Linked DNA regions of Drosophila melanogaster. The protein of the gene in region 1 interacts with the protein of each later gene in a pairwise test. Each region holds a gene or a part of one and is shown on either strand. Other genes may lie near its edges.

Evidence for each region.
Region 2: the proteins of Liprin-beta (region 1) and Gbp3 interact in a two-hybrid assay, tested with the Drosophila melanogaster proteins (one large-scale study listed by BioGRID).

What each region holds. Positions count from the first base shown.
Region 1 is NT_037436.4:13,505,255-13,522,661, forward strand, and holds Liprin-beta (Liprin-beta), read left to right. Parts: upstream 1-7,999; 5' UTR 8,000-8,143; exon of another isoform or gene 8,144-8,227; 5' UTR 8,228-8,337; coding exon 8,338-8,538; intron 8,539-8,603; coding exon 8,604-9,547; intron 9,548-9,608; coding exon 9,609-10,506; 3' UTR 10,507-11,022; downstream 11,023-17,407. Other genes in the region: Spt20, read left to right, coding at 1-1,316, 1,386-1,617, 1,681-3,291, 3,796-4,080, 4,144-4,544; Vps36 (vacuolar protein sorting 36), read right to left, coding at 6,450-6,827, 6,886-7,611, 7,675-7,770; CG10710 (uncharacterized protein), read right to left, coding at 11,275-13,404.
Region 2 is NT_033777.3:22,969,240-22,984,445, forward strand, and holds Gbp3 (Growth-blocking peptide 3), read left to right. Parts: upstream 1-8,030; 5' UTR 8,031-8,068; coding exon 8,069-8,548; 3' UTR 8,549-8,925; downstream 8,926-15,206. Other genes in the region: Nha2 (Na[+]/H[+] hydrogen antiporter 2), read right to left, coding at 12,352-12,606, 13,354-13,455, 13,785-13,928, 14,640-14,828.

The DNA.
Region 1 (17,407 bases):
ACCAATTCACTCACCATCACGGACTGGAATTGTGCGATTACCTGGCTCGCCTGCGCCAGCGACCGCGGACGGGAAGTAGCAGTGGTGGCGCCAATGCCACACCGGCCACGGCGCCCACCAACAATCCGCTGGTGGGGGCCATGCTCTCTTCGTTCACATCGAAGGTGCCCCGGCGACCACACGAGGTCATACGGCCCATTCGTCCGCCCACACTGGAGTATCCCGCCAATCTGAAGGTGCCCGAGCACGTGATCAGCGTGGAAAAGTATGCCAAGGCCTACGAGCCCCTTAACGAATTCAGTGAGGCCTGCAAGGACGGTTGCCAGCCAAACTGTCGTCATAACTTCCAACCGCAGCTGGTCGAGGAATACATTCTTGAGACGGAGCGGGAGGCGAGTGAAGGCCGGCGGGCTCTATACCACATAAAGCTGTCCATTTTCCAGCGCCCCTCCGATGCAGAGTATCTCGGCGAGCTCTATGTGGACCGAGATTACCGGGAGGGTGAGCGAAACGGCGAGTCGTGCCGCTTTGCGCTGGGCACTCGGGTGCATGCCAATCGATACATTCAACAGTTCCGCGAGATCTTCACCGAGGAGGGACGTAAGGCGGTCAAAATCACGCATTTGATACCCGGGCATATGCCAATTGTGACTCACACGGGATTGACGAATGAGCAGCGGATCCTCTTGCAGCAGCAACAACAGCAGCAGCAGCGTCAAGCTCAAATGCAGCAGCAACAACAACAGCAGCAGCAGCAAGTCGTTGTTGTTGCCAATCAGCAGCAACAATCGCAACAACAACAGCAGACACAACAAGCGGGACAGCAGTTATCCGCCACAGTGCATCATGTTGCACTGCCGCGACAACAAATAACTCAAAAGACTCTCAATTTGGCTGGAAGTAATGTAATCAATGTACAACAAAACTTTCGGCAACAATCAGCGCAGCAGCAGCAGCCGCAAACATACACAATTGAGGCACCGCAGCAGCAAGCTGCAGCACAGATTGTCCCGCAACAACAGCAGCAGCAGCAGCAGCAACAACAACAACACATACATCTTCAGCAGTTGGCCACCGGCAGCAGCAATACCTCCACAACAACGCACCAAGTTAGCCTCAGCAATGGTTCCCTGGTCCTTGTGCAACAGCAGCAGCCACAGCAGCAATCGCAACAGCTGGCACAGGCGCTGCAACATTCGGGCATAACCATCCAGCCCGCCACCATTCAACAGCAGCAACAGCAGGTGAAGGGCACTTCCGTGGTGGGGGCCAATTCAGCGCTGCGTGCCCAGCTCAACTCAAATGTGCCAATACTGGTTAGTAGAACATGGTCAATTAAGCATTGCTAGTTTGTCAATAACTTTATGTACTCTCCTATTCCGCAGCAAACGCAGCTGAAAGTGCAGCAGCAACAGATTATGCAGAAGCAACAGCAACAACAGACAACTGCCACTAGTAACAACAACAACAACAATAATAACAATAACAATATGAACAACAATACGGCCATACATCCGAATCCTGCAATAAACGCCATAGTCAACAGCATTATGAACTCTGCCAACCAGTACCAGCAACAACAGCAGCAGCAACACCAGCAGCAGCATCAGCAGCAAAGTAAGTTCGGTGGGAATCTTCGATGGGAAATATGCTAAATAACAATACAAAATTGTCTTACAGCGGGGAACACGTCGAGCAACAATAATGCTGCAGGGTCAGGCGGCAGCACCAACAACAACGGAAGTAGCACCAGTGCCACAACCCTCAAGAACTCCAGCAATGCGTCAATTTTAAACCTGCTCAACAGTGCTCCAGCTGCGATGACCAGCACACCCGTGGCCAGTGGAACGTTCACCACCTCCACCGGCCAGCAGCAACCGCAGACGCTGACGCTTGTGCAGCACCAGCAACAGTCGACGCCAAACACTGCCGATGCGGCCACCGCTACGTATGTGCAGACCACCCGTGGCACACCCACGCTGGTGAGTACGCAGCGGAAGCAGCAGTCCAGCGAAGTGTTGCAAAATCTGTTGAACGCCAATCGAAAGATTGGTGGCGGAGGCACCACAACGACAACTTTTCGAACAAACTCCGCGGGCAATTTGATAGCGGTCAACCTCAACCAAGCCGGCCAGTCGCATCACCAACAGACAGGCGACGGCAGCCAGACGGTTAGAGTGTCCATGTCGGCGCTTGCCTCGCAGTTGGCCTCGCCGCCCGCAGTGATGACAAACCCCACCACCAGCTACACAGTGATCTCGTCGGGCAACAGTGCCGCGGCGGCGGCAGCATGGATTCAGAGCCCAACGGGCCCAGTTCAGCAGCGCATTCTGAGCTCCCTGAGAAGAGATAGCACCACAGCGCCGCCCAACGCAATTGTGGTGGGCATGGCCGCTCCTTCTCCAGGTAGCGATTCGAACGCCTCGAATGCCAGTGGCTTTGCTGTGCCAAACAATCTAGCGTCCACTTCAAGTGGTGGTGGCGGCGGTGGTGGAGCCCTGTCCGCCTTGCTGACCAACGCAGCAACTCCCTCGCCATCGGGCTCGGATCACTCGCAGTCGTCGCAGACGCACCAAAACCAAGCCCTGCTGGAGCGCCTAAGCAATGTCACATCAAACGTATCCGCCGTTTCCATGCCGCACATGTCACCGCAACAGCCGCAGCCAACGCAGCAGTTCATCACGAAAACCATCGTTCACTCTCCCGCCACATCTTCGATACACTCGCCCATGTCTAGTCCGCATCCGCAGCCCTCTGCCTCGCCGCAGCAGCAACAACAGCAGCAGCAGCAACAGACCACCGCCACTTTGAATCTGCAGGGCATCAATCTGTCTCAACTGCAGGGCGCTATGGCTAACTTTGCCGGCCTGCAGAATGTCCAGGTGCAGATCCCCGGCTTCACACAGCCCATTTCGCTGCAGTTCTCCGGTAACAGTTTGCAGCAACAACAGTCGGGTAATACGGCTACTGGTGCGGGCACAGCGCAGGGCCAACAGAGAAGTGTCCTGGTCTCGGTTCCAGTCTCCAGCCAACAACAGCAACTGCCACACACCATAACGCTGCAGACTCAGTCGGCGCCGCACCACCAGCAGCAGCATCAGCAGACTCAGCAGCAACATGCCCCACCAACGGGCACCATTGTGAGCCTGCCATCGTCGGGACCTGGCACACAGACGGTCGTCATTACGAATAACTCCGGCGGAGGAGTGACGGCGGGAAGCAGCACCAGTGGCAGTGCGGGCGGCGGTGGAGGATCAGGGGCCACAACGGCCATGCTCACCCTTCCCATTGGTGAGTATAAGAGAAATGCGTTCCTGGTGCAGAGGCCGCTTGCTAAGAATGCTGCACTGTCGTTTCGGCCAGGCCGAAGAGATATTTGTGACTCTGGATCTGGCTTCTTGGTGGGAATCTTTATTTTATAATCGGACCATATTATTTATACGTAACTCTTTTCTTTTAATTGAACATGCTTAATTTTGTTCTTTTCTGTTTCTGTTTCGTTTCTCGTTTACAACATCATACAACACAAACCCGTTAACATCTCGTTTCGATCCCTCATGCAACTAAACTAATCCAATCCGATTTGTGTGTCTTGTGTGTCCTAACCCGAAATGCCATCAGTTTGAGATTAGAGGGTCCATTATGTATAGCCGCAACCGTACTGTACGTACTGGTTTGGCGACCAAGTTGGCGGCTCCCCGACCTCTGACCTTCAACATTTCTCATTGCAACCTAAAACAACAACCAAAAAAAATCTCCCCGCACACCCACGTTCTGCTCTCTCTCTGCTTACAGCTCAAATAGTCGGTGCCGGTGTACAGAAACTAAATCCTCAAACAATACGTACCTCAAATGTTGGTGGTGGTATAGGTATCGCCCAGCAAACGGTCCAGCAGCAGACGATTCAGTCGCAGTCGGGCGGCAACAGCACCGCGGCCATCCAGCTGCTGGGCACCATACAGCCGCGTGCCCGCAACGTCCAGGTGGTGGGCACCAAGCAATTGGCCAACAGGCAGCTCATCACCACCCAGCGGCAGATAGGTGGCTCCACGCTTAAGATCGCCACCACACCCGTGAACGGTTAGTAGAAATCCATTCATTTCTGTCGACTATTACAAGCGCATATGTTTTTCCCACTGTTAGCTGCCAATGTGGTGACCAGCAGCGCCAACCTAACCACCACTCCGATTGTGATGTCCGCACAGAAGCTGCAATTGAAAACGGTGAAGGCGCCCGTGCAACAGCAGCAACAGCCTCAGCAACAGCAACAGCAGCTGCAGCAACAGCACCGAATACTCAACCAGCAGAGCACGGCCACGGTGTCGTCGCAAACACTGCCCAGTCCCAACCAAGTGCAGGTGGCCCAGCAGCAGCAGCAGCAGCAACAGCAGCTGCAGCACATTCAGATCGCCGGTAGGGCCACCACCGCTTCGGGAGCCATCAGTCAAAGGACTCTAACAGCTCTGGCGGCTGCGAAGCAGCAGCAGCAGCAACAACAGGCTGCGGTCAATCGACGGCGCTCCACCACCGATGCGACCAAGTAAGGGATGTGAATTGCCTGGAACTGAGACGACTATTGGGACGACTGAGAGATGAAGCTATAGAGCGAACAAGTAGAAGGCTACGCGTTGTGTATTGCTTGATATTATAGTTTATGGTTACCTCCTAACTATCACTACTATCGTACATTGTATACCCATATAACTATATATGTTTTGATGTGTAATCGTAAGTGTAAATTGCATGGGCAACAGCATGGCAGCTCATAGTTGTGCAACCTAGTTAGGAGCTGGAATTGGAGCCGAAACACAATCGGTCTGGCCCGGCTCCACCGACTGCGCTTGTGTTAATTGTGTACCCCCCCCCCCCCCCCGGCAAAAACGAATTAGGTGTAGAGGTCTTAATAATATTTATCTAGTTGTATATACGCATATATATTACATATATATTATATATATATATGGAAATTGTTTCAATATGTCCCGCGCCCAATGGCCATTTAAACTACTACTATTTGGCTCCCGACTCCAATTCGTTAAGTCCTAAGACTAATTCTTTAAGCGTGCTAATTTTAAGCTGTAAATCAGGGGAGGGGAGGAGTCGACGGTAACAAAAGGAAAGCAATAATATGAGGAGAAAAATCAAGAGAAACGTAAAAATTAATTGTAAAGAAATTCTAATTATTACGATTACGTTTAGCTGCGAGAGCATATGAACCGGGGTAGGGGTTCATTTAAGCAATTACAAATATTCATATTGTACTATTAAAATTATTATTGCTAATTATTTAATCGATTGCTTAGCTTAAGTTCACAAACGAAGATAAAACACACACATTTTAGTTTGTAATGTACAATTCGTAGCCTCAACCAATTTAGTACTTCCAATTGCAGATACATTAAAAACGAAGAGCAAAACAAAATATACAAAAGTCAAAACTTATTTAAACAATTTATTTGTAATAGCTCAATGTACAATGAAACTAGAGACAGGAGCAGCTGAATGAGCTTGGACGATGGAAAAGTTGCCAACTCGAGTCGAGTAATGTGTAAAAGTGTCGCTTTCGACAAAGCATATTTGTTTTTCACCTAAGCCAGTTTTTTTGTAGATGGACATTATTTATTTAAGTAACGATTTTATTATGTTACTACCGCCTAGAGTGCTGTACTTGTTTATCATTGTTTGATTCAGCTGCGCAGCACTTAAAGTAAACCTCTGCATAAACCTCTTCAGCCAGCAAGAAATAAAACACAAATTAACCTCACCACTACCCGTACTCCCTACCGTATCCAACACACACTCAAGCATAAACTACTCAATGTTAATATTAATTAATAAATGTGATTTAAGATGAATAAACGAAAATGAAAGCATGGTACTACGTAAACCGAATGAATGATTGAAAGCATAACGAAGTGGGAAAATGTTACTCAAGCAATTGGCCAAAATCCTGAGTACGAAAGTTATATACATACATGCGCGGTAATGTGGCCTGATCAAATGGTTATTGAAACGTAATTCAAAGATTTATTAATGTAATGCGGAGCAATCTAAGCAGCAGCATAATATATTTATATATATGTAAACACGAAAACCACTATTAATATAAATGTGTAATTTCAATTCAATAACTGCTTATCAAAATACCTGACTGTAGAAACTTTTCATTAAACTGATTACGAATAAAACTCTTGAGAATACTAAACAAAAATGAAAATAATCACGACAAAACCAAAATAACTTAATGAAGCGCCGACAAAGTCAAAGCAGAAGCTCCGTTAATCAATAAAGTGTGAAATGAAATTAAGAACTCAGTCTTGTCATTGCGATGGAACTGAAAATGGTAAGGACCTTTAAAGGATATTCACTTTCTACTCAAAACTCCTGCTTTAAATAAAAAGTCAAATATCTTTATTAACCATAACAACAAGCACACATTCACATTGAAATTAGTCCCGGCCTAGCAGAAGATTTGGATAGAACCGCAGTCCCTCTACGGACTCGTCGCGACACACCTTGCCCAAACGTTCGGCCACTAGCAATCGCTCCTTGGCCAGCAGGAGTGAAATTCCCAGCTGCTTGGCCAGTTCCTCCACAGCCAGAGACTCGGCAGCCTCCACCTTCTCCAATGTGTCAACGGCAATTAGGGCATCATCGTGGGACTCCAGTTGTAGCACTCTAGCGCCACTGGGAAAGCTGCGCAGGCGTATTGGACCACTAAGCTGCTCGCAGGCGTGCAGCAAGTCCTCAGGCGATAGCAGTTCCAGACCACGAGCGCGGTTTACACGACAGTAGACATCAGCCAAGGACATCATGCCACCTTGCTCCTAAGGGGTAATAAAGTAAGTGTCAATACAAAGTATAACTTTTTAATACAGTTCCTACCTCGATAGGATCCAGCAGCATTTCGCAAATCTGTCGGGCCAGGCTACTGAAGTAGGCAGAATTGCTGGTAAAGTTGTCCCGCGTGACGGGATCATCGATGCCCAGGCTCATGAGGTAGGATTTGAAACGCACCGTTTCATCGTCAGATATTTCTCCCTTCTGTTTGCGTATCTTGCTGCTTATTGTCTTGGACACTCCTACCATGTCCTTGGCCATGGCCATTAGAACACTGAGATCCTGAAAGGCAAGTGCTATGTTCTCATCCGTGGCCTTGGCTTTTGCCTCCAAATGCCGTTCGATGCCCCCAATTCCTGTCCTCTTCTGAATGCGGGCCAGCCTGTCGTTGGCAGGCTCCAAGGTTGGACTGCTGGCCACGCCATTGATGATGATCTCGCTGGTCAAGAGGATTTCCCAGACGCGGGCATTTAGAGTCTCCCGCAAGGCACTGTGGAACTCGACACTCAGGCCATTCTTGCCCGACAGTTTGATGTGGGTGGCGCGACTGGTGTCCAGTGGGCCGGGTCCTTTGTCCGACGTTGGAGGATGCAGATGCATGATTATGCGAGTCTTGCGGCCAAAGAAGTTAGAGGCAGTAGTCTCTTCGCTGACGGATATCACATAGCTGAGTGGCAGGCAAAGTGTTACGGCGGCCCGGGCAATCTCTCCAGGGCGACCCCAAAACAGTCGGTGTGTGGTGAGCACCACTTCGCCGTCTTCAAAGTCCGTCTGAAAGGATTTGAGTCTAATAAAGACCCGGTTTCGTATTGTGCGAATTCACTAGCTGCTCACCTTTTGGTCGCCATCGTATATTTTTACCCTGTTGTCGCGGCTGACGAAGGATTCATTGGGACTCAGACGGGCCTCCACATAAGCGAAGCGATTCATTTCAGATATTTGTTATTTTATCCTTAATATTTGTTTTGTTGTGGCTCTGGCTGGAGATGACACATCTTTCGTGACTCCACCGTTCCACCTGCTTATTAGTGATGGTATCTTTTTTGTACAGTAGATATCGGGTATGGAAAACCAAATATAGCTGTACACATCTAGATATATTGCATACTTTGTCCCCAAAAAATGTAATTAAAATGTGTTTAGGCATTTTTATACGTTACTTAAAATTAATTTTGTTTTAAAATTTGTTTTGTAGACTTTAGACCATCTAGCAAACTATCGGATGTTGCTCCTACACACAATTCTGCGTTCGCTGACTATCGATAAGTGGCTGGGCTGGTGTGCGAGAAGAAGAAGCAGAACGGTGCAGCAGCTTCTATTTTCGTGATAGTTTTCCCCAATTAGTGCTGAAATTAATAACCATAAATGCCATTTTCCCCTAAACCAGTGCAAAATGACGTGCCCTGCCTGACCTGCTTACATAACAATGCACTAGTCGCGCAATAAGCACACCACACATCGATCACCCGGGATTAGCGAGACTTTGATTTGGACTTCATGGCGACTGTGGCGGAGGGCAGCAAAATGCTCGAGGCAGCATTACAGCAAATGGACGGCCTTATATCGAGTACCGCGACACAGGCGGGATCCGTTTCTATATCCGGAGCAGGGTCTTCCCTGACACTCAGCGAACGCAACTTAATTTCGGCCACTAATGTTTTGTCAACAGCTAAGACTTTGGCTCTCGCCCTGCAACAGGTGAGTCACACTGACTATGATAAGGTCTAGAAACGGAGGGCTTACACTTACGCTTATCACTTTAGGTCGGACTGGCTGCTCCAGCACCGGATCCTGTCACGGCGGCCATTATCAGCGACTGGCTGGAGACGCACATACCTCGTCAGGATTCCGACGAGCGTATGCGTCGCCTGCAACGGGATAAGGAGGGCTTAGCCCTGCAGTATCAGATGCTGGCGGAACGAGTGTCAGAACAAGCGGACAAGATTATCGAGCTGGAGGGTCTGATAACGGAAAAGAGCCAGCAGTTGTGTACCAAGGAAGAGCAACTGCAACGACAGATGATTTCTAGTTCCGCCCTCGAGACGCAAAAGCTGGAGCTAATGAGTGCCTTAAGTGAACTAAAACTGCACCGTACTGCATTAGAGCAGGCTAACGATGGAGGTAGCGCCATTTCCGCCAATATTCCTTACGGCAGTTTGAGCAACATTAATCAGAAGGCCTTTATGGGATCGCCCAAGACACCGCCCTCTGCACTGCGGCACCAAATCAAACCGCAGTTCCACAGCCTGCCAAGATCGCATGGCAAGTTTGTGAACAACAATAACAATCGTGCCTTAGACGTCAATGCCAACAGCAGCGGCAAGCAGCGAAACGTGGCCTTTGCTTCGAACGAACACATTTTGATTGATGACAATCATCATCAAGCGGAGGATGCAATGACTTCCAGCTTTATGTCGCAGTTTACACCCTCACCAAAGCTGAGGGAAAGATCTGCCCGTGGCTTGCGCAACATACTTGGTAAGCTACGACGCAGCAACAGCAGCAACTGCGAGCTGACCGCCTTGGAGCAGGCAGAGCCCGAGTTTCGACGAGGAGGAGCCCGAGCTACGGCAGGCGGTCGAATTGAGTGGAGTGCTCAGACTCCGTTGTTCGGTGAGAATGAAAAACATTGGACAACCTGGGGAGCGCAGGAGGTGTGCAATTGGTTGGCATACATGGGTCTAGGCTGCTATGAGGACAATTGCCGGTAAGTTTTGTCATCAAAATCCAAGAAGAACCCAGTTACTAAATACAATTTCCGCCTACAGAAAGTGGTTGAATGCCAATCCATCAGTGTCGTTCTTCACCGCCTCGCCTGTCGACATCGAACGAGAGCTAAACCTAAAGATGCCACTTCATCGGAAAAAAATCTTGTTGGCCATCGACGACCTAACTGGGAAGGAGTTTGATGACCTGACACTGAAGGCATCCAGCTTGGATGTGACATGGGTTCTACGCTGGCTGGATGACATCGGCTTGCCACAGTATAAAGATTACTTTATGCAGGCCAAGATTGACGGTCGAATGCTGCATCGTCTCACCCTCGAGGACCTCTCCCAATTGCACGTCAGCTCTTGTTTGCACATAGCCTCCTTGCGAGCGGGAATCTTATGCATGCGCCGCTTATCGTGGAACGCGGAAGGTCTAATTCGACGCTCCATTAAAGTTGTCAGTGAAGATGAAGCCGCAGCCACTCCCGACAGAGACAATGTGGAGCTGTGGACAGCGCATCGCATTATGGGATGGCTGCAGACCATCGACCTGTCTGAATACACGCCCAATCTGCGTGGTGCTGGTGTCCACGGGGCTCTGATGCTTTATGAACCGCGTTTCAATGCTGACTTGCTTGCCGACCTGCTGTCGATACCACCGAGCAAGTCCCTGCTGCGTCGCCACCTGGCCATGCACTTTAAGGAGCTAGTCGGTCGGCCAGTGATCTTGAGTAAGCGAGATGCCGAATCGGCACCCGGGTACCAACCGCTAAGCATTACAGCTAAGCTGAAGCCGGTGAAACGCACACAGTTTTCGTTAAAGCGTCGCAAGAGCTCGAAGAGCCAGAGTGACGTAGACTGGACGGAGTACGTGTGTCCCATGAATGCCAGTGTGCCGGAGACATATCTAGCTGATACGGCTAAGGAGCATGAGAGCTCCATGAGTTCGAACTAAAGACGAAGTCGAAAGGAGCACAAATCGATTGAAAGCAAATATGTTTTTTAGTTGTAAGCCCAAAACCTGGCCAAGGATCCCCAAACTGAATGAACTGCCACCTGAACCAATTATGCAACCAAATCCACAAAATTGACAATATTAGTGAGAATTTATCTTATCAAGGCCACGCCCAAACTTCCAAACATCTTTCGAATGAATTCGAGTCAAAATTCTTTCGTCGACCTAAGCATACCAGCAAACATTTTGGAAATTTTTATATTATCTGTAACTAACATTTAGGCTAATCTGGAAACGGGATGTAATGACATCTTCTAAATAAGCATATAACGATGATAACAAGAAGTATTCGCAATGGCATTGAAACGACCTTGAGAGCGAGCATAACCCCTATAGACTTATCGCCCATTTTGGAGTTTATCTTTTGTACTAACACATAACTGTATTGACGGATATTTTGTAAAATACATACTACGATGCCTTTTACAACCAAACAATATACATTTGCATATGGTTAAACATTGAGTTTATTTGTTAACAATAACATTTTATTAGGCACTAAAAAAACTGATGAACGACTAGGAAGCGTGGCTGAGGATCATTGATCGCGTTGTTGGACAGCCCGCATGGACGGAATCGGCATGGGTTGCTGTTCTCCACCCTCAACTGGCAACCGCAACCGAAGCTGGGCCGGCCATTAGCTGATCTTAAACTTAAATCTTTGGCAGTGCTGTGTGTGGATGTTTCCTGAATGTCCTGGCCGCAGCTCTATGTCGTCTGGTTGGCGGTTTGGGTTTCCAGATTTGGCAGCCTATCCTCCCGCGAGGCATTTTGGTGCTTGGCCAGATCGCTCTCGGGTATGTGATCCTTCCAGTTGCGGAAAAGGTAGCGCGTGAACTTCTTTAGCTGTCTAAATTTGCAATAGGTAGCACCTTCGGCGGATTGAAGCTGCTGGGTTTGGATGAGAAAGCCTTTCTCTTTGAAGGTTTTCTCCAGCTTTTCGCGCTGCTTTGATCGCTTGGAGGATCTTCGCTTACGTTCGCTCTCTGATGAGGACTTACTTTGCGTGTGACCGGGACACACTGCTCCGGGCATGGGACTCTGGGAGCTGGAGCACTGGGAGGCTGGACTATGGGGCGCTACGGCGGCCACCAGATGGTTGCTGCTGGGCAGGAGCAGCGTTGAGGTGGGTGACTCCGGTGATATGTGCAGCAACTCTGGGCTGAGGTCTGTCGATGGAGCTGGAATATCCACGTAGAGCTTCTCCTGTGCCGGCTGCTGGTGTTGCTGCAACTGCTGCTGCTGATCCCGGGAGATGAACTCGTAGCCTCGCATGGTCTTGTCTCCTGTGCCGTTGTAATACCGGTAATTGCCCTCCGCGTCCACCGAGAGCATCTTTTTCTCCTGCAGCGTGGGCTTGGCACCACCGGTGAACTTAAACTTGCAGATGCTCACTTCGTTCGAGGGACTCGACGAATGCTCGGCGGGCATGGGCGGGATAAAGATTGCTGACCGCTTTCGTTTCCGCATGGCCAGGGGCGTGGTCTCATTGGCAAAGAATCCGCTTGGTATCGGAATCTTAAGAGATAGCTGGTTGTCCTTCTCGATGGTCTCCAAGGGCACAGGCAAACCTCCCAGGCTGCAGGACTCGACGAGCTGCTGATAGTACAGTCCAACTGGTTGGAGAAGCAACTTGGCTGCTGTCATAGGCTGTTCCTCCGTCCCTGCCAGCTCCAAGGTCAGAGGTTTTACCGTACTAAGTGGAGTGGTCCGATGCGAGGAGCTGCCGCAATCTGTCGTAGCTGTGGTCGTATTTGGTGTAGTTCGCGGCTTCTCACTGTCGCCGCTGGATATTGAGTAGCGATCGCCGCTCTGGTCACGCAGGCAGAGATTCAGCGGCTCCTCAGGTGGCACCGCAATCGTGGAGGTAGACGGCGGCGGAGCAGCACTGACCGGCATCGCGGGCACAGATGCCGGGACAATGGTGCCGTAGTTCTTGTAGATCAGGTGACAAATATCCGCCTTCTTGGGCTTCCGACCACGACGTGGCTTGTAGTTGTCCAGCGTAATCTCACCCATGTACGGCAGGTCTGCGTATTTTAGGGAGTTCCGCTTGGAGGCAGTTGTTACCTCGGAATTTTTTGTTGGTACCACGGACGTCGCTGCGATGGGTGAAGATCGCGAAGTTGGTGCTCCAACTCGAGGAGCGGCAGACTGCTTTTGTTGCTGGCGTTCGGCATTGCGCTGGATCTCGGCAATCTTCCGCAGCCAACTGCGTACATTCTCGTGAGCCTGACTCGGCGGAGGAGCTGGCGGTGGTAGCACTGGTCTTGGTTGCTGGCGACCCTGCGTGGCCTCGTAATGGGCGGCATACTCGGCGGGCAGAGCTTGGTGGTGAAAGCGAAGCTTCATGGCTCCCGCATCGCCTCGCTTACGTGATCGCTGTTGACCCTGGCTGTGCACTGGCCTAACTGTCTTTTGTGGTAGAGCAGTGTGTGGCTGCTCCTGCGCTGGCTGTCGGTTCGCCTTCCGGCTGCCCATCAGCAGATTGGCCTTCAGCTGCTGCTTGGTCAGTGGACTGCAGGTGCCATTGTGTGGGGTTTCGTGGCCGGCACTTTTGCGGGCCAGTAGCGTCTTGAAGGGATGGTCTTCGTCGTGGGCATCGTTGGTGGCGCCATGCGAGATCAATGGGTCGTCGGAGCCCTGCAGCAGCAGACGGGTGCTGTTCAGATCCAGACGGAGTTGTGGGTGCTCGGGCGTGGGCAGCCAGCACTCCAAGTCGGGATCGTGCTCCAGCTTTATGCTGGGTAGGAGCTGGTCCAGATTGTTGGTAGCCGGACCCAACTCTCCCTTGTCTGCGTTTCCGTTAAGATCGCAGATCCTAGTAAGTTCTTGCATGCTGATCTTGATTTCGGCTAAAAAAAAGTAAGAGAAAGATAGTTTTATTATTATTTATATAATCTTCCAATTTATATGCTTTTAAATTAATATAAAACTTTTCATATTTACATCACTTATTACAAAGACTTGTTTTCATACAGTTTCGAAATTCAAACTAGACAACACATTGCGTATACGAACCATTGACTGGCATAGACGGTAATAAAAGGAAATAGTGTAATGTTCCAAACGCTTACCGGAAAATACTATGGAAAACACATCTAAACTAAGCTGTAATTTTAACCGTAGTAAGTTAAAAGTAAATATGAAATGGTGGTATACGTTGCGTATACGCGATGTGAGAGACACGAAAAACACGTTGTGTTGTTATTTTGATGCTCGCCGGCAGAGGAACACATTCACGGAGACGCAGGAGGAGGAGGAGGGTGCTCAATCTCTGTTTCTCTCTCGATCGGTGGCCAGCACGGGAATTCTATTTAAATGTCCAAGAGGAACTGGCAAGTGGCGCTCTCTCAGGCGAAACACACACAAACGCACAACGATTTTTGCCCCGAAACCGAAATGTTGTTTTTGTGCATGAAATTCGATTCCCTGGGCGAAAAGCATGCCCATAAAAGGTCTAAAGGCCCGGCCTGAATGGATGGCGAAGGGTATTTGCTGTATCCACATACATAGAATAACGATTACTAATCGAGAACTATCATATTTACCTTGCTATTCTATCGTTTGTACGTTTAAGGTGCCCTGGAAAAATGAATATCTTCTGTTCCGGTTCCCTCGCCGGTTCAGTCTTGGCTCAAGCTGTCCTAGTAATGCCGGGTGATTGAGATCACCTTCAAATCGCCACGGTCCACAGTTCACTTCACGCTGCCAGTGGCAGTTGGTCGACGGGAATCGACGCTGTGCGCGTGCACATCGTGTTGACATCCAAAACGCAACTAGTTGCGGGAAAGCCGAGTCGCGGAAAGCATCGCTTCTTCGGAATATGCTCCTTAGATGGACCGCCGCGGAGAGCACGCCCCACACACAATAGAGGGAAATAGGAAAATAGCGCGGACGGTCGGGCAAGTGAAAATCAAATCAAATTCCGCCGCTCTTCGAAGATGCGGAGATGCGTTGTCGCTGCTCGACACCGATGGTTGTCGTGGTCCGTATTTAACGCCAAAGACGAAGCTATTTCGTGTGTGTTCATTTTTAGAAAAATCCAACTTGTTGCCGGCCATATAGAAGACCCCTCACCACTCGGCCAGGTCCACAACGCTACGCAGAATGCGGCAGCCAAAATGAAGCAAGAAATTCTGCCCAAAAAAAAAACGAATTTTATTTTTCGCTGTTTTTCATTCATGGGCTGCCTGTGCGCCAACTTGTTTATTGTATCAACGGATCAGGGTGAAAACAAATTGCTTTCGTTTCAGCTTCTCCCGCAGCCGAGCAGAGGTAGTGGACTAACGAGGGTATCCCCAGTTCGATCAGCAACCCCTTGTTTTTTATAGCTCTCTTTCCTAGCAGCTACGCGTATATGCGCGATCGCATTTTATTTATAGCACCTGGCTACTTCGGGTTAGGGCAACTAAGAATCGCCTGCGCCTCTTTCGGATTATGATTTTTCGGGTAAGGTAGTGAAAGGAAAATAAGTGAAATGAAAAACACCTCCCGAAATAGACAACGGATCGAGGCGGATCCTCTATTTTGGGCAGCGCACATGGCAAAGTAGGTCAACTCCGTTTCTAACTGGAGTGGGTGCACAGAGAGAAATTAGAGTAAGAAATAAAATAATGCTGAGATTGGCATTTCGTGAGAGTAATTAAAATAAAAAAGAAAATCACCCTGATAAAATTAAATTAATTTAATGGAAAAGCAAAGCAAAAAAAATTGTAAAATCTTTTTTTAACACCAAAAACTGGAATATATGTTTAATATTAAGCCTTCAAAAAGTATTGAAAACAAACGTAATTTATAATAAAGTACAGACAATTGTCTCATCACACTCACATTCAAGTTCTAAACATGATTGATGTGAAATGACACGGTATGGTTTTTTATATTAATTATTAAATGGGATTATTACATACAGATAAGTATGACGGCACTGTGGGTGGGTGGTTTGCGTTTGGTTTATTTAAAATAAATTGTTTATGTCATGATTTGCAAACTGAATGCTAGTAACTCAGTGATATTCGGTCATGGTCCGATCACTAATTACTTTCTCCACTGCGCAAAATAAGGGAAGAAAACCGACGAAACTCGGATCATCAGAATGCAAAGCACAATGCACAAGTCACTATCCAAATGCGAATAGACGCCTTAAGGGGCAGCGTTCTTCAAGTTACTCATTTGGCAGTCCCAAGACGATTAGACCCCTTATTGAACAGATCACTCAATCATAATAATAATAATACCTACCCGCTTTTAGCTGGAAAGAATCTTTTCTCGACCGTTTCGCATCGCGTGCAAGATCGAACTTCGCAGAGATCACTGTGCAGTCGATGATGATGACGCTGTACCGCTGGCAGTGGGTGGGCGAGTTTTTCGCGACCTGCAGAAGCTTTACATTCTACAGTTGGTTAGACGGCGGTTAGACGGCAGTCGGCGGTAATTGGCAACCCAGAACCGGAGCTTACATCACCATCAGATCGGCCAGCGGCGGCGGAGTCCAACCTACGGATGCAGAGCGGAGTGGAGCTCTTGAGTATTGCACATCTATTCGGCAGTTGCGAGTCTGCAGCAGCTGCTGCTGGTGTTTTTCCCACTGCTATCTGCTAGCATGTTTATCGAGCGACACTGACAGTCAATATCTGCTTGCGCGAACGAACATATTTGTATTTATGGCCATAACTGCCACTTCAATCGCCCACGCGCGCTTTGTTAACGTGGCTTGAAGCAAGTGAACAACCATGTCATTTGCGAATTCTATAGACCAAGTCTTTTGTCTGGCCTTGCCTCAAGTTCACACGATATCGACAAGTATTCCCCTGGGATTAACTCACTTCACTTGAGTCATAATTTTCGCATGAAAATTTGAATTTCCTATGTTTACTAGCCGCCGACAAAACGCGAGCCAATATGCAAATGCTTGACTTGAATTGGCGAACTGCCGCTCGATTCGCGATTTCCATTCAAATCAGATTCGTTTTCGTTCTGTTGGCCAATTCGGCCAGGTGGCTTATATTTTTTAAGCCAGAATTGCCATATCGCTGGATTCGGAATTCAGAATTAAGAGAGAGAGAGAGAGAAACAATGGGGCTGAATGATATTTTTATGGTAAAAGTTTATTATTTGCAACTTTATTTTTTAGTTTCTTTTTTGTGTTTTTGTTTTCATGTTTAAATGTCTATAAAGTATATATAATATATATTTCTGCATTTTTTGTGGTTTGTGTTTTTTTTGTTAATTTTTTTTTTTAGTTTTTCATAATTTTTTTTTTGCTTTGTTTTGTTTTATTTAACTTGCCAGTTGTTCTTTGTTTATATACCTATTACACATTTGCATAAGTTTTTGTGTATAATAATTATTATTAATAATAATTTAATTGTTGTAATTATAACCATGGTTTATAATCTCCTCCGACTCTCTATATCCAATTTCCTGCTTCGCGTTTACTATATGTCCCCGCCTCCATATCATCAATGCGCTTATGTCGCCCCATCAGCGACGCCCAGTTTTTAATTTTATTTTCAGTTTTATTTTAATTTTTATATTTTTGTGTTTTTTGGCAAACGAAACAAAATGTACACTGCTTGCCCATATTTTGAAACTGGCAATAATTAATTAATACTAGGGTGGTTGATATTTCTGTTATTACGATTTATACCTCCATCTCATTTTATTGTTAGCCTTTCGCCGCACTCTGGATCTAACTAATCTGCCTTTGCTCCTTCCTACTGTTTGGTTATGGTTGGATCAGTGTGCTCCGGATTATGGGAGATCTTAGGTCTTGAAGCAGATTGATCGTAAATGAACCTGTTTGGGTGTCTAGGATGGTGGCGGCATCTTTAATCGA
Region 2 (15,206 bases), on another chromosome or scaffold:
CTGAAAAGCCAAGGGGTGGCGAACTGCTGGGCCAGACTGCTTGTTATGATATTTGTGTTGCCTTTTTCTTGATTTTATTGTGTGAATATGTGGCACATTATTCATGATTAGGTTGAGGCCGTTTGCTCGTCGTTTTGTGTGCCCACGATTGTGCGTGTGAGTGTATGGTGTTTACCCACTTTGATTGGCTGACAAGGTGGTGGTGAGCGGGTAAGGCAAGCAGCAGTCCCGAAAGTCCTGCCCCAAGGATGCCTGGCAAGGTGCCCTACCCATTCATCAGAGTGGTAATTAGTCGAACGAGATTCGCTGTCGGGCTGCATCCCGGAGCAGAAAACCGGCGCTAATGAGGCCAATAACTCAATTGCGGCCAAATAAAGTGCCCGAAACGAAGGCCACACAAATCTCGGAAGTTTAAAAGCGTTTACACACCATTTAAATCAAAATTAATGCCACCTGAAACAGGAAGTTCCCCTTTCGAGAAGCCATGCCATCGCATCCACTAGTTGTATTAGCCAGCATCATTTCCTTTTAATGACGGCGCGCTTCGTATAAACTTTTTAATTACAAACTTCAATTACAATTAACGAGCGCAAAGGCTGGGCCAAAAAAAAACAAAACGAAAAAAAAATAGTAGAAAATCTCTACTTATCTTGGTATTGTTTTGTTTTGTCCGAGCCAGCGTTTGCATAATTGGCCCGCCAAGGAGCGAATTCTATGGAACTTCCTTGGCCATCCGTGGATAATTAAGAATAATAATTACCTAACAGGCTGCAGTTTCTACCCGCCTGCTGTCTTGGCCATCATTTATGCGCTGCCGACTCGAACATCTTTGGGCCAAGGATAATGGTAATGCAAATGCAGTGCACAACTAATTGCCAATCGATATCTCACAATTATGTGGTAATCCACTCAAGAGAAGGCATTAAATTTAAATTGAAGCGAAAAGAGAGCAGATCCTGGCTCTAACTTTATGTGTGCCCCCCAAGTTTTCGCCGCTATTTGTTCTGCTCGAGTTGGAAACACATCTCGGCAATTGGACTGCGTTGCCAACTTTGTTTCACTTTCCCACTCGCGGCTTCTAATTTCGCTTTTTTTTTGTTTTGTTTTTTTTTTTGCCCCATCTGCCCCCCATCTGCTGTTGACAAAATAAAAACTTTTCAATTTGACTTCTTGTTTGTCGAAATGCGAAAGTTGTGCATGAATAAGAAAGGACCTGACAGAAATGAAGGTGGATTGGTCATGTGATGGTTCAAGGGAAATTTAAATTTCAGCCCGGATTGAGCAACTCAAATTCAGAAATCATTAAACAAGTGAGCCGTTGTGCCAAAGGTGACTGCGATGTGTCCTAATGGCAGGCAATTCAATTATACTATTGTTCCAGAGTTCCTTTCAGTGCTTTTTGCCTGCCACTCCATTTGCTGCAAACAATTTTCAATTTCCAATTTCCATCTGCAACGTACTCGCTGCGATGTGTCGGCCAGCAACAATATCCAACGGCGGGGCTATTCAATTTCGTCAAACACCAGGCAATAAATTGTCATAACACACACGGGCCCAAGTCCTTTTGTCCTTCAGTCCTCTGGTGTGGCACGGCGGCCCTTCGGCAGCATTCTGTGATTCAAAAGGATATGCGGCGCATATGTGTATGCGAAAGTCAATCAATGCGAGGGCTCCCAAATATAATGGAGCCCTGCATTATCCTTTCCGGCCACCGCTATCGAACAGGCCACAATGTGTGACAGTATCTTTGCATGTCTTACTGACATTTAACATTTGCGTTTCGTGTTTCGTACTCGCTTCGCGGTGAGTCCTGTTTGCAGTTGCAAAATACACCCAACGCTAGATACTCCCAATTTTTATTCGTCCTTTTTTTTTCGGTCCTAGCAAATAGACAATCAGCGCGACGGGCGGTCCAAATTGAAACACAAGCAATGACTGCAGCTCACTACAGTGCAGTGTGTCGTTGTCATACAAGTTTTAGATTGCGTGCACATGTCCCTGGCAACCCATCCGGATAGCAAATTGAAATTTTTTCCACCGATCACAAAACAAAACAGCTCAATAAAAAGTGTCAAATTGGGCAGCCAGCCGACCACCACCCCCACCCGGCCCATCGGCCTCTCAAAGTCAAACTTCAGCAATTGGCTCTTGCTCTCCTCGAATGGCCTCAATGGGCACAAAGCAAATCCATCAATCAGTCCAAAGAGTGTGGCAATCTTTTAACTACTCATTTATGCGACTTAAGTGCACTCGAGTCCTGGCTTTTTATCGGCTGCACTGTTGTGAGCTGCGATTAATTGGCCGAGTTTCGCTTGTCGACGGTGAATGCCGTAACAATAAGTTGCGATACACTGCGATTGGCAGGGAGTAAGTGGTACAATCAGGCAGTACTCTCTGAAAAGGATTAATTCGTGGTATAAAAGTTATGACATGGAACTAGTCTCCAGTAATAGCTCGTATCTGAAATGTGATTATTGAAATTAATTGCATTGTCATGAACTAAAATTCATCTACTGAAATTAATCAAAGGATCAAGTCTATACTAATCGAACTTCAAGTGAAATATTTATAATTATTTTACTTATTCCATTTTCAAAGCAATAAGAGTGTGTTAATTGCTATATTGGGTGAATAGAAGAGTCTAATAAATCAACATTTGACTACCACAAGCATAAAAATAATTATGCTTTAGTAATTAATCGTTTATTCGCTGATAGCTTAGGCATTATCGAAATTAGTTGTGATTTATTGTGTTCAATGTTGTGGGAATAATGTGATGAATGCAAAATGCTGTGAGTACATTAAATATACTGTCTAATAATATACAAAATATGCATTAAATATTATCACCAATAATATTTCTGATTGAAATATGAAAACTGTACCAATTGCACTAACAGTAATAAAACCCATCGCCATTTTCCATATGCGTAATCCTCTTTAAAGAAAATAGTTGGGGCATATAGCCTGGTGTTCTGCGGATCGAGTACAACAATAACTTTGGCAAATACGCAGGCCAGCAGGCAACTTCAGTTGGACCTCCATTGTGCGAGTGTGTGTGTGTGTGTGATTGTTTGCTGGCCAATGGACCGACGTGACGTATACGTAATATTTCATTTCATTTGTACAACGCACATACATACGCTCATACAGCGGGCAGTGCGTGTGTGTGTGTGTATGTTTGCACTGCGCTCACCGTTGGCCTGGCAATGAAGGACACACATACCCATACGCAGAGGGATCCTGCACACTACACTATATGGTTTATACATACATATACGTGTGGAGAAAAGGATGGATAGGGGCTGGAGGAGCGACTTCGGCGACGCGTACACGTGCCTACATCGTTTGCACAAAGGTTCAACACCGTTATTTATTTAATTGCATTCAATTTGCGGTTAATTGTTAAACAATGGCCAACAATGACTGTGCTCAGCCTTTGACTGAGTTCGTTCGTTTTGCATTATGGGCGGCCGAGCGGGCCAGAATGAGGGGGCGTGGCGCCGTGGTAGCTTGGCCAGTTGGCCGAGTGTGTCGAGTGCGCTGAGTGTGTTTGTTATGCAAACAAGTACAAGTGCGGTTTTAATTGAACTCAAGTGAGGCTGAGCTCTGAATGGCCGCTCGATTTTTACATGAATGCGGGCAAGTGTGAAGTGGAGAGAAAGCGAAGAGAAAGTGGGATGAAAACTTGCGTGGCGCGGCCTAATGAGAGGGGTCGGTCCAAATATTTGCACAAATAAAATGTAATTAGCTTTTAAGCCAGCCAACAGGCAGTTTAAACAGTACAGGGCGGCCATAAAGCACACCAATTTGTTTGCGCCAGTCCAAATATCTATGTCCATACATATATATCTGATTTTATGGCCCAGCTGCAGTGACAAATTGCAGGACAAACTGCCTTTGGAAAAAAGTAAAATAAATAACAATCGGCTGCCGGTTCATGGCCATCCAGCCACTGCGAAAGTGCGCTTATTACCATTTACCGCATGGCAGCGAAATTAGCGGGCATAAACCGAAACCATTGTTATCGCACCGCCGCCGCCGACCATCAACATTTGCATGCGAATTGGAAATAGAGTAACTGCGGACTCCATTGGGCCCTAATCGGTCAAGTGTGGGCGGGCGGCGGCAGCGGCAGTTAGCATCCAATTAAAATGCGGCTAAAGTGCATCAATGTAAATACTGCAGATCCTGCGTCCTGCCCACTGCCGTGTGCACATTCAAAATTCAAACAAAAACCATAATCGCTTTGGCAGGGATTACAACACACAGGAACATGCTATGGATCCAGCTTTCGATTGCGATTCCCATTCCGATTTCGATGCACCATGCTCCTGGCCAAAAGCGACCTACTGGCTGAGATTTCCGTAGGGCCGACCGACTGACCATCCAAATCCGTATCGATTCACCCCGCCGCCTCCTGCGGTCGTGTGCAACATGCGAATTATTTTTACGTTTATCGCAAATTCAATTCAATTGCGATAATAATAAAATTTATTCGCAGCAATTTGTTTCTCTGTTTGCTAAGCGAGAATTCAGCAATATAGTGGCTGGCCGACAGCGAATTATAATCATGTGCTTGACTGGCTCGGCTTGGCTAAAATTGAAATTATATAATCACATACACCAGTGGCCATACAAGTATGCACACCGATTCCATCACAAGTATGGCTGCCATTTGAATGGCCAACAAAGGGGCTCTTTATCAAGGGTATAGACAAAAAAAAGCTTCTAGTCTGTGGGCCAATGTCACTAGCACCCAAATATGTCCCATTAAGGGCACCTCAACACGTGTCCTTCTTTTTCAATGGAAGGAACCTTGAAGGCGACCACTTATTGTCGTCAAAAGGACAAAATGACACGTTTTGAAGGCACATACTATTTATTTTATGTACACACACACAGATTTTATTACAGCTACAACTACAACTCATTTTCTAAAATAACGACAATAATTACATTAAATTATTGTGATTAAATGAAGTTGAATTTACATTAACTTATTCTATGTTCAAAATGAACTTTCAAATAATATTTGCAAACTTTTAATCATAGGATACCGGCAAGTCTAAACCTTCATTTTGTGCCACCAATATACTGTGTGTTTATCGTTTTGTGTACCTCTAAGCATCTTTTTTTATGTTTTATGCCGCCCGCTGGCTATTTGTGCGCCAAATGCATTTGTATCGATATGCCGCTCATATAAAATAAATTTAATAGATACTTGTGAAATCGCCAGTGCAAATAGTGCTGCGATGCAGCAGTTCTGTGTTGGGGAAGTTGCAGCACAGTGGAATGCCGCCGCTAAAACAAACATCCGAGTCATCAGCCGGAAATGGGATACACGCTCGGTCCTTGTCTGGCCTTCCTTCCGTACTTGCCAGCTCCTCCTCTGACCTCTCAACCCAGAAACTTGAATCCTGATCCCCAATACCAACAGATTCGCTATGGCAATAAATCCCCCAAGGAAGTGGGTGGCACAATAGCAGAAAAACTCATGAAGTGGCAAAGAGTTGCGATTGTGTAAACAAATATATTAGGAAGAAGTCAGAGGTGTAGATGGAAAGGGGCTCTTAAATTGAAATCATTCGATGAAAATAAAATATAGTTATAGCTTTAAGTATTTCCCAGAAGTAGCTTATGTTTTACTTGTTTTAAAGCAAAACTTTAATTGGGTTTCCTTTTGGCCATGCTGCATGCCACGTAGAGAAACGAATGTTTATAGCACTAATTTTATTTGTTAAACTAACAAAAGCAGCAGCAACGACGACGAGCTGGGCAAATAAATGTGTCTCAGAAACGATTGAGCGCACAGAGACAGTCATATAAACAGAGGGACATAAAACTCATACGACATGTGGGCCGGCAGGCACTTGGCAATGCGTGAGCGTGAGAACATGGCACTTCATTCACGCCCCGGAAATGCCCCACCCACTAGCTACGTACCATCCAGCTCTTTCTCCAGTGTAAAACTCCGTACGGACAGCAGTTGAACCGAAAGCCAAAGACAAAGAGGAGCCGAAACAAAAAGCCCGGTCTACAGTTGCGCCTGCCGAACAATTTATACGACTATTTGAAGTTGGAGGACTGAGTAAATGCTGCCTAAGTGTGCGTAAATCTATAAGGACACCCAGTCGTCCCAGTCGTCAGGACCTACGGAGGAGCTGGAGAACCCATCGAAGGATTTCGGCTGTCTCCATTGTCACCCGGCCACCACTCGTTCTTTCTCCCAACCTCCAAAGTGTTAACACATCGTTGCCATCCCCCCAACATCCCGAACTCGTCACGATTTCGTCCCGTTCTCCAGTTTGTTTTTATGTTGTAAACCATTTTCATTTGTTTTTCGTCGCTCTCCACTCCTTTTGCGTCTTGGGCGATTGAGATATTCCCTTCTGTTTGACTTCAAAATTGATAGTTTTAGCCAGATTATGATCTGTTTATTGTGCAAAGTGCTGTGAACCGGGGATTGGGCGGCAATTAAGTCGCCTTGTGCGGCGAATGTGAATGTAAAATGTGTTTCCGTTGATAGCTGAGATAGAGGCGCCGTTTAGGCGTTGTCCTTCGTGTTTGATCGACTGATAGATAGAGTGGCAATGTCCTTAACTTAATTTACTCCTGAGAAGAAAGACAGGAAGATAGGGAGCCACCTCAAGCAGCGTGAACAACAAGAACTGAACTTATTTCCGGCGGAAGTATCAGTATTCGGCAATTTCCGGCCTGCCCTTGGCTTTCATTCTTTGCTCCCTCGCTACGAAACTTTCGCCGGCAATAAATGTTAATACATATTAAGCGATATCCCATCCAGTCAATGAGTGGACCAAGTTCGAACTTCGGCACGTCCATGCCGAATCAATTTATCGAGTCAAAGTGTAATTAATGCCACTGCGGCAGGACAATCGGCCAGAACTAGACTCAACTACTCGGCGCATCCGTCGAATTGCCGGAATGGCTCAATTGTCAGACTCCATAGCACTTCCATTAGCCGCTGCCTTCATTAGGGCCTGGCCATAATCATCATCATCAATAATCTGGCTCTGAAAACACATCACAAATTAATTTTGACAGCTCTTGCCAGCTATTAATATCAATTATTCAAATAGTTCGGCAACCAGCTGACGAACTTCAAGGCAATGCCCCCCACATTACCAATAAGCTGATTCATTACTGTCCGTTGGTTATGTCATCAGAGTGCTCCTTTTGTTACTTTTTCGCCTATCGAAGATGCAGACGCTTTGTTTTCAATAATGAGCAACATCTGATGCGTTTAAAATGTTGGCCATGTTCTTTGGTAGCCTAGGTTTGCTCTCAAAGACTTGTGGCTCTAGGGCCCAGACGATAGCAATGTTCACAAAAGTATAACATTGCACCAGAAGGCTCTTTGTATATACCATAATATGCCATAAAGGATGCAGAGAAACTAAATGATTTAGAACAGAAAGCAAGACCATACTTGCTGTGGGTTGTGTTTCCTACATTTGTCAAAGAGCATTTCAAACAAACTCTTATCAATTGAATCCACTTAAAGAACAATTTACAAATCACTCGCTTATTGACATTATCATTGAAAATTCGTTTCGATTTTCAATCGTGCTTCCTGCCCCGTTCATTTTCTATGATACCAAAATAGCAGATTGGTTGACCCTCCGCTTTTCACATGGCAGCTCAAAATTATGCGTGCACATGTATGAAATACCGAATTGACTAATATTTATTTATACAATTTTGCGGTTCACAGAATGCAGATAATTCAATTCCAGTGTCAAATTTGCCAAAATGTGCGTGTGGCTGGCTCAGCCCACCGCTCACCTCAAATGCAATTCAATTTGGCGATAAACCAATTTAAAGCCGACCAAAAATGAACGAAAAACTGTATGGAATTAAATGTACACATACTCACACTCGCATATTCCACTGTGTGTGTGTGTGTGTGTGGATGCGGGTAGTCTGTTTATCTCTCAGTCGCGGCTTCGGGGTCAGAGGTTATCGAGTGGCGACCGTCGACCGAAGCTTTGGAAACCGTGCAAACTGTTGGTAGTCGAACGTCTATCGCAGTGCCAACAAGTCGGCGATGAAGCGGTTTCTTGTGGCCTTATTGGCCGCTCTGCTGGTAGCCGCCGTCCAGGGCGGAATTCTGGGCAGAATTTTCCACAGGGAGTCCACCTCCACAACAACCAGCACAACTACGACGACCACAGAGGAGCCCCGCCGACCCTTCTACATCAACAACAATATTCCCGAAATCCCGAAGGACTGTGTGGCGCAGTTCAAGTGCAAAAAGAAGCTGGCGAATGTTCAGGCTCCAAAACCGTGTGTGAAATACTGCCTGCACAGGATCACCTGTCCCAATAACCAGACCAGTCCCGTTCAGCCCAACCAGTGTGTCGATCTCGACGAGCAACAGGTGCTGGCCGTCCACGAGGCAAACACGGAGCCTCCGGTCGCCGGCCAAACCACCACCGAGAAGACCATGATGGTGGCCATGATCGACTTCCCCTGCCAGCCCGGCTATCTGCCCGACCATCGTGGTCGCTGTCGGGAAATCTGGTGATTCGATGGCTTCGTGACACGTGTTTACTGCATAATTATACCTGTGGAATTTTCGTTTTTATATACATGCCTGCTCCCAATAATCACAATAAAACCCAAACGAACGGCTTTTGCCCAAAGATCGAACACAGTGAACAATTTGATAAGTGTTTCGGGTGTAAATACCACCAATCTGCCAGTCACAACAAATGGCTGCGGTTTGTGACTAGTGATTGTGTTATCAGTGAGTTGAAAACATTTCAAATCAAACTGGTATTTTCATATATACTAGTGAAAAAAGTGTGGACTCAAAACAATGCACTCGCTGTTGGCAAGAATAAAAAGAGTTTTGGCCATTTTTAAAATAATAAATAAATAGATAAATAATTAACAACTTACATGCCCTAACTCTATTTCGTTTGCTGTTTAGACCAGCTGCTTATAACCTCTAGAAATAAATTAAAATTTCTTTAATTGTTTTTTGAACATATTTTTGTAAGTGCATTCTCCGCCGTGAGTGGTCACTGTTCGGGAATAATACTTTTGCTGTCCCGACACGCCAAGTGTCAAACACACCTCCTTTGGTTGGTTGGGAATCGGTGGACTCAGACATGAGTGGCGGAATTAGGGACTGAATGAAGTGGGGGTGGGGGGGCTTACCTCCAAATGGGCGGGGCACTGGGCGGAGTCGTGGCAGTCAACAATTTTGTCTAATTACAACGGGAGAAACGAGCAGCCAGCGACAAGCCATAAAAAATATGCCATTTGCACGAAAATAACTGTGATGTGCTGTGACCTGTAGCCCCCGCCATTGATAGCCTCCAGCAAACAGGATAAGGAGGACGAGGTCCTGGATTGAAGGAGGAGTTGCCGAAAAAGCCAAAGCCACAGATATAGCTAACAAATGGCTTAATTCCAGCCAGCAGCTTGAATGCTCGGAATGCCGAGCGATAAAAAGTACATGTATTAAAATTAACAAAACAACAAGACGCAGACAAGAGACGCCTTCTTTTTTGGCCCATTTGGATGGGTGAAGGTGGTGGATTTGTGTAGGTTTTGAAGCCTACTTCCATCACGTGATTGACGCACATTTCGAGCCCAGAGAATACAACTGCTAATTCGACGCACCCAACTATGGGGATCAAGGAGGAGGATTTGGAATGGGGCTGGTGGAAATTTTATGTGTCTTCGTCATGTTAATTGTTTTCCTTTGTTCGTGGGCATTGTGGACTGCTTTTTGCCGCCACAACCATTGCTTTAGCTTTAGCTTTTGCTTTGTTGTAAGCCATAATTTGCGCGCTTATAACTCAAAAGTTTCGCCGTCAAGCCAAACGCAACTAACTTTATTAACTGAAGGAGCGCGCGCCTTAGCCAGGTTTTGACTTCATTTGTGCCCCATTCTTTTTGTTTTCTTGATTTCCGTTTCCGAGCGTCGGTTTAGCAGGAGGACGCAACTTTCTTTGGCTTGTTTTTATGGTAATCGGCGCATAACAAAAACCACACCACCACCACAACAACGCACCACACCGCCCCACCCACCTGTGTGTCTTGGTGGTACGGTTGGCGGTGGCATGGTATTTGGAAATTAAACTGCGCATAGTCCTTAAAATTTTATAACTTAATTTCTCTTGGTCTGGCATTTTTGTGAACTTTTTGATTTGATTTCGTTTGGCACTCGCACAACTCCTTTTTCGCCATATCGGTTGGCTGTCTGTGGGTGGTTGGTTTGGATTGGATTGGCTTGGTTTGGATTTGGGTGGCTTTTCAGGTGGCTTTCTGGGTGGGTAAGGCAGTGACGTGCCTGGCGTTCTTTTCCAGCCCGGAATTCGGCATGCGAATTAGAATAATAAACTGTTGGAATTTATTTGGCGCAGGAAAATGCTTTGGCTGCGCTGATAAGGTTGATCTATGGCCGGTGGCATTTCAATGGCCGCGATAAGAGCAATGAGTTTTGAAGGATTATGCCGGTGGCAGCATAATTGATGTGATGCGAACATAACTCAATTGTGGCGTAATTGCGGCCCTCGAATCTGGCTTTTCCGCCAGTTACGCACTCCATTATTTGTATAGCCCTTAGCCGGCCAACCGATGCTCTATCCCACTGGCATTTTACCCTAGTTATACAAACGTAAAAATGCCAGCTTTTGCAGCTGCTTTCATTATGCTAATTGCACGGACATCAACTGCGGAAACAATGCAACTAATAACAGAAAGCAGGGGCAATCGGTGCAGCAAAAGAGCGGAAAAGCGAACAGGTATATACATAGGTACACAGGTTGGCAGGTACGGAGGTGAACTAGGGAAGAAACCAAAGAATTTTCATTAAAATTTTCATTTAGTTGCGCAATTATTTTTGTGCAGCCATTTTAATAACACTAATTTACCTTCAATTCCCAACTCTTTTTCGAGTCACACAAAGGCCACCGATGATGAAAGAGATGGTGAATCGCATGGTGAATGCGAATGCGAAAGAGACGGGGACATACGGTTATAAATATGCGCAGCTGCAGGATAATAAAAATGATAAGTTTTTCTCTCTCTCTCTTTCACTTTCTGTCGTTTTTGCCGTCTTTTAATTTCATTCCTTTCAGCATTCACTCAACCGGCCACAGCTGAAGCTCAGCTATTACACTGGGAAAAATGTAGATACTTCTTTAAATTTATATAATTTATACCATTGAGACTCAACTACAATTGTGTCATGGAATATGCTATCCGAGAATCATATCCTTTGAGAGAATATTTGTTTGATCGGTTTTAGAAGCATAGTTGGTTCGATAAATTCCAAAAAATATTCTACATTTCCCTCACTGCTTCGATTCGAAATTGGTCACAATTTGGGGAAAAAAATTTTCTCTTTTTTCCCGGTACCATCGGTTGTCATGCGACCGCAGCAGCAGCAACTAGAACCAAAAGCTTCAAAGGCGGCCAGAACATCAAGTTCATTCTAAGCCGTTTGCATTGCAAATTCTGCATCGCCTGGCGAAAAAGGGGGACAACTCGATGCTGGTTGGCCCCACAATCACTTTTCAATTAAATGGCATTCTTTCCTCTTTGCCATTATTTTGTGTTTTTTTTTTGCTTTAGCCATGGCTCTAGCTTTTTCAACCAGCTCGGAGCCAAATGATTCTGCCACAAAAGCAAAAGGCGTTAAAATGCGTTAAGGGGTGAAAAAGGGGAAAAAGGGGACAACTCTGCTTTGAAAATAACGATATCAATTTGGGTCCATTTATTTACTTGACCAACTCGACGAGTGAACGCCTTAATCGGCCTCTATTCGCATTAACATTCTGTTCAATTGTCAATCATTAATACGGATTGTCATCGACATGTCACAAAAACTCGCAACAGATTGACACGAAGTACCATTTAAATCCACCCAAATTAATTATAAAACCAATTAGCAAGGGCTCGGTGCTCGGGATTAACACAGATCCTGTCATAATTAGGTGCCGAAAAGCTTTTCTTATTTGCAGCGACAGGAAAAACAATAAAATCCCAGTCGGCCAAGTTGCCCATTTGGGGGCATTAGTCCTGCGGGATTAGGGCCAAACTTTGTTAATTCGCCGAAATTTAAGGGCCCGGCCCCGTACAAGTAAGCAAATAACTGGGAATTTCCGAACCATAAAAAAAGGTGCGCTTCGCATCGAATTGGGAATGAATTGAAAAAAATTTGAAACCTTCGAGCAAAATATGTTGCTAACTTTTCGCATTTACTTTTATTTGAACAGCGTAATACCTAAGTACACGTAAGTATAAGTACGAATGAAATGGCTACATAAGTACGGCATGGATTAAAAGTTTCGGCTCCAGATCAACCTGAAGCTATGTCCCCTTCGAGGAATTGGTGCTGCCCAGCGTGGGGGCGATGGGCGTGGTTGGAGAGTCAACCGCCTCCACTGCATCTCCATGTTTGAGCCAATATGGCGCCAACCGCAGCATGAGAATGGCGCCCAGCGGGGCGGTGAATATAATCGCCAGCACCGAGATGATGAGCAAATTCCCGGCCAGCGCAAGCTGTTCCGGACTGGCCACGCTGGCAGCACGTGCCATGTCCAAAGCCACTGGACCCAAGGCGGCCTAAGGGGAAAAGAGAGACAGAGAGAGAGGGTTAGCTGGGGCTCATATTAAGCAGCGGCCACCGCTGCGTATGAGTGATATGTGATTTGCAGCGGGGTCAGATTAAATGCAGTTTGCTGTGCAATTTTAATTAAATCAGTACGAAAAAGGTGGACACTGAAATATGCACCGCATATTAGGGCAAAGTTAGACGGACGCACACATGTGACCGCCGTCCTGGTTTTTTTTTTTGGTTGTCTTCCTCTGGATTTTTTGGACGAAGTAAGTAAGCCAGCGTAACATTTAAATTTCTGTAAACCACAGACGCACACTCGCCTGCTCAGGCGACATAAACAAAATGTTCGCTTGCGGTTAAACTGCAAACAAAAGGCTGGCATGCCAACTGCAGCCGCAGGAGCAGGAGCATGAGCAGGTCCTGCGATGACTCTGACTCTGACTCTGTCTCTGGCCAAGAGAACATGACCTGCAAATACGTGTATAACTTAAGCATGGGGAAAACACCAGGCCAGAACAACCAGAGCGGCCAGGACGACCAGGACAAGCAGGACAACCAGGACGATGGTCAGTCTGCTCGTGGCAAGCGAGTGAAATGGCCGGCAATGAAATAAAAAGCGCCACCAGGCCGGGAGACAACGAATGGAAAATGGGAAATGAAAACGGGCTGGTAGGGTAAAAGGGGACTCGGATTGGGAATGGGGAATGGGAATGGGAACCGCAGCAACATGACACGCGGAACGGGAAACTTACTTGGACAGTTGCTTTGGGAAAACCGGAAATTGTAATGTAGGCACGTTCCTTTCTCGACAGATTTCCGCCATATGTGGATAAATATGCAAAAGCCAGGCGAAACTGAAAACAAGAACAAGAAAGTGGTCATCTCTAGATGTTTTTCTCCCTCCGTTTCTTTTTTTTTGCATTTTCTGTGTGCTTGCAGGTAACATTTGCATTGCGGTCCCGGAACATTTTCATTTCAGTTCACCCACCACACCCAACCGGAATCTCCACTTGGTCGCCATTCCGACCAGAATGGATATGAATGGATGGGGTGCCCAACACCGCGGGGACCGTGCAGTATTCCCCGCACCAACTGGTCGGAGGGCCAGAAAGAAATTAAATAAGTGGCCGGAGCAAGCATTTGTTGCACCACCAGCCACGCCTCCAGCGACCATTTTAATTACCAAACTTCCGACGAGCACCAACAATGCGCCATAACCGATTACATGGCCCTGCAGCACGTTGAAATTAATTTCCTTGCCAATGAGCGCAAACGAGACGGGCTTGAGGAACTTCCACATGAGGTCCAGTCGCTTGGGCACACTCGCCTGCAAGGAGAATCAATAGGTTGTTATTAGATCGTGGCCCAATTCATTATGTTTTCTAAAAGCTAAAAGACGTCCATCCCTACTTCCCGGGAAAGCAAGCCAATCGGCTTACAAGGCGCTTCCTCGGAACTCAAGACTCAAGTGCAAGTGCGGAGTGAAAAAAGACCTCCCTGGACAGCAACTGGGTTAAAAGTTTAAGGCAAAGGTAAATGAAAGGAGGATGTTAAAAACAAGGATGCAAAAAACACATGCTCGAAACAAATCGAGAGCCGGCAGTCAACTCTGACATGGGACAAGGACGTGATGTCACAAATTACCTAGCAGAAATCCCGAACATACAGGCGCTTTTTACAGCTGCAGCGGTACAGACATAAAAAATGGCACTATTGCCAGGGAACATTTTTCTTGACCCGAAAGCAAAGAAAGCAGCAAAAGAGCGACTGTAGCTCCAATACCCCAAAAAGCACTCAGAAACGCAAAAGTGGCGGCAAAGCCAAAGTCTCCAGCTCAGAGACTTGGTTTCGATTGGACTTGGTTTCGATTCTGGACAGAGAAAGAAATTATAAGTGAGTTATAGTATTAACTTGGAGATTTTGAATGAAAGCCCATATTCAATCCTATATTATTCTGCATTAAATCACCATCATTATTCATTATACCATTTTCGTCCAAGATGGCCCACAAATAATGCCCAGTGCAAAGGATACTCACAATTTGCTGGGCCTGCAGCTGCTGGGGCGTCAGTCTGGTCTCCTCCCGTCGCCAGCCAATCCTCGCAATAAAGGCGGTCGTTACACAACCCAGGGCTCCGGCCGACGTATAACCGATGACGCGGCTGCCCATCACGGCGATGGTTCCGCCCAAGATGGTGAGTACGAAGCGGAGGCCATTTGCGTACGTCTGCAAAGATGTGGGATGTGCGGAAACAAGGACAGATATGAAGGGAGTGAATGGCAAAACAGGTAGGTAAGTTAGGCGGGCTGAGTGGAGAAAAAATGACGAAATCACTTTACAAAACTCTGATGGAAACTGCTTTTTTATACCCCCAACCACCAGCCATCGCCAGCATTGTTTGTGTTTTGCGTGTGCGGTCAGCTGCGTATACGCAACGTGTGCTGCAGTCAGGGAAAATCGAGGAAAAAAGGATAGTGTCCTGTGTCCTCTCGCCTTGTTTTCGTTTGCATATATACCGGGTTTTTCCAGGCTCTAAAATTGCACTAAAATGACTTCTACAAGGGTTTAGATCTGATAAATCTCGCCTGCAACAATGTTTTCTCG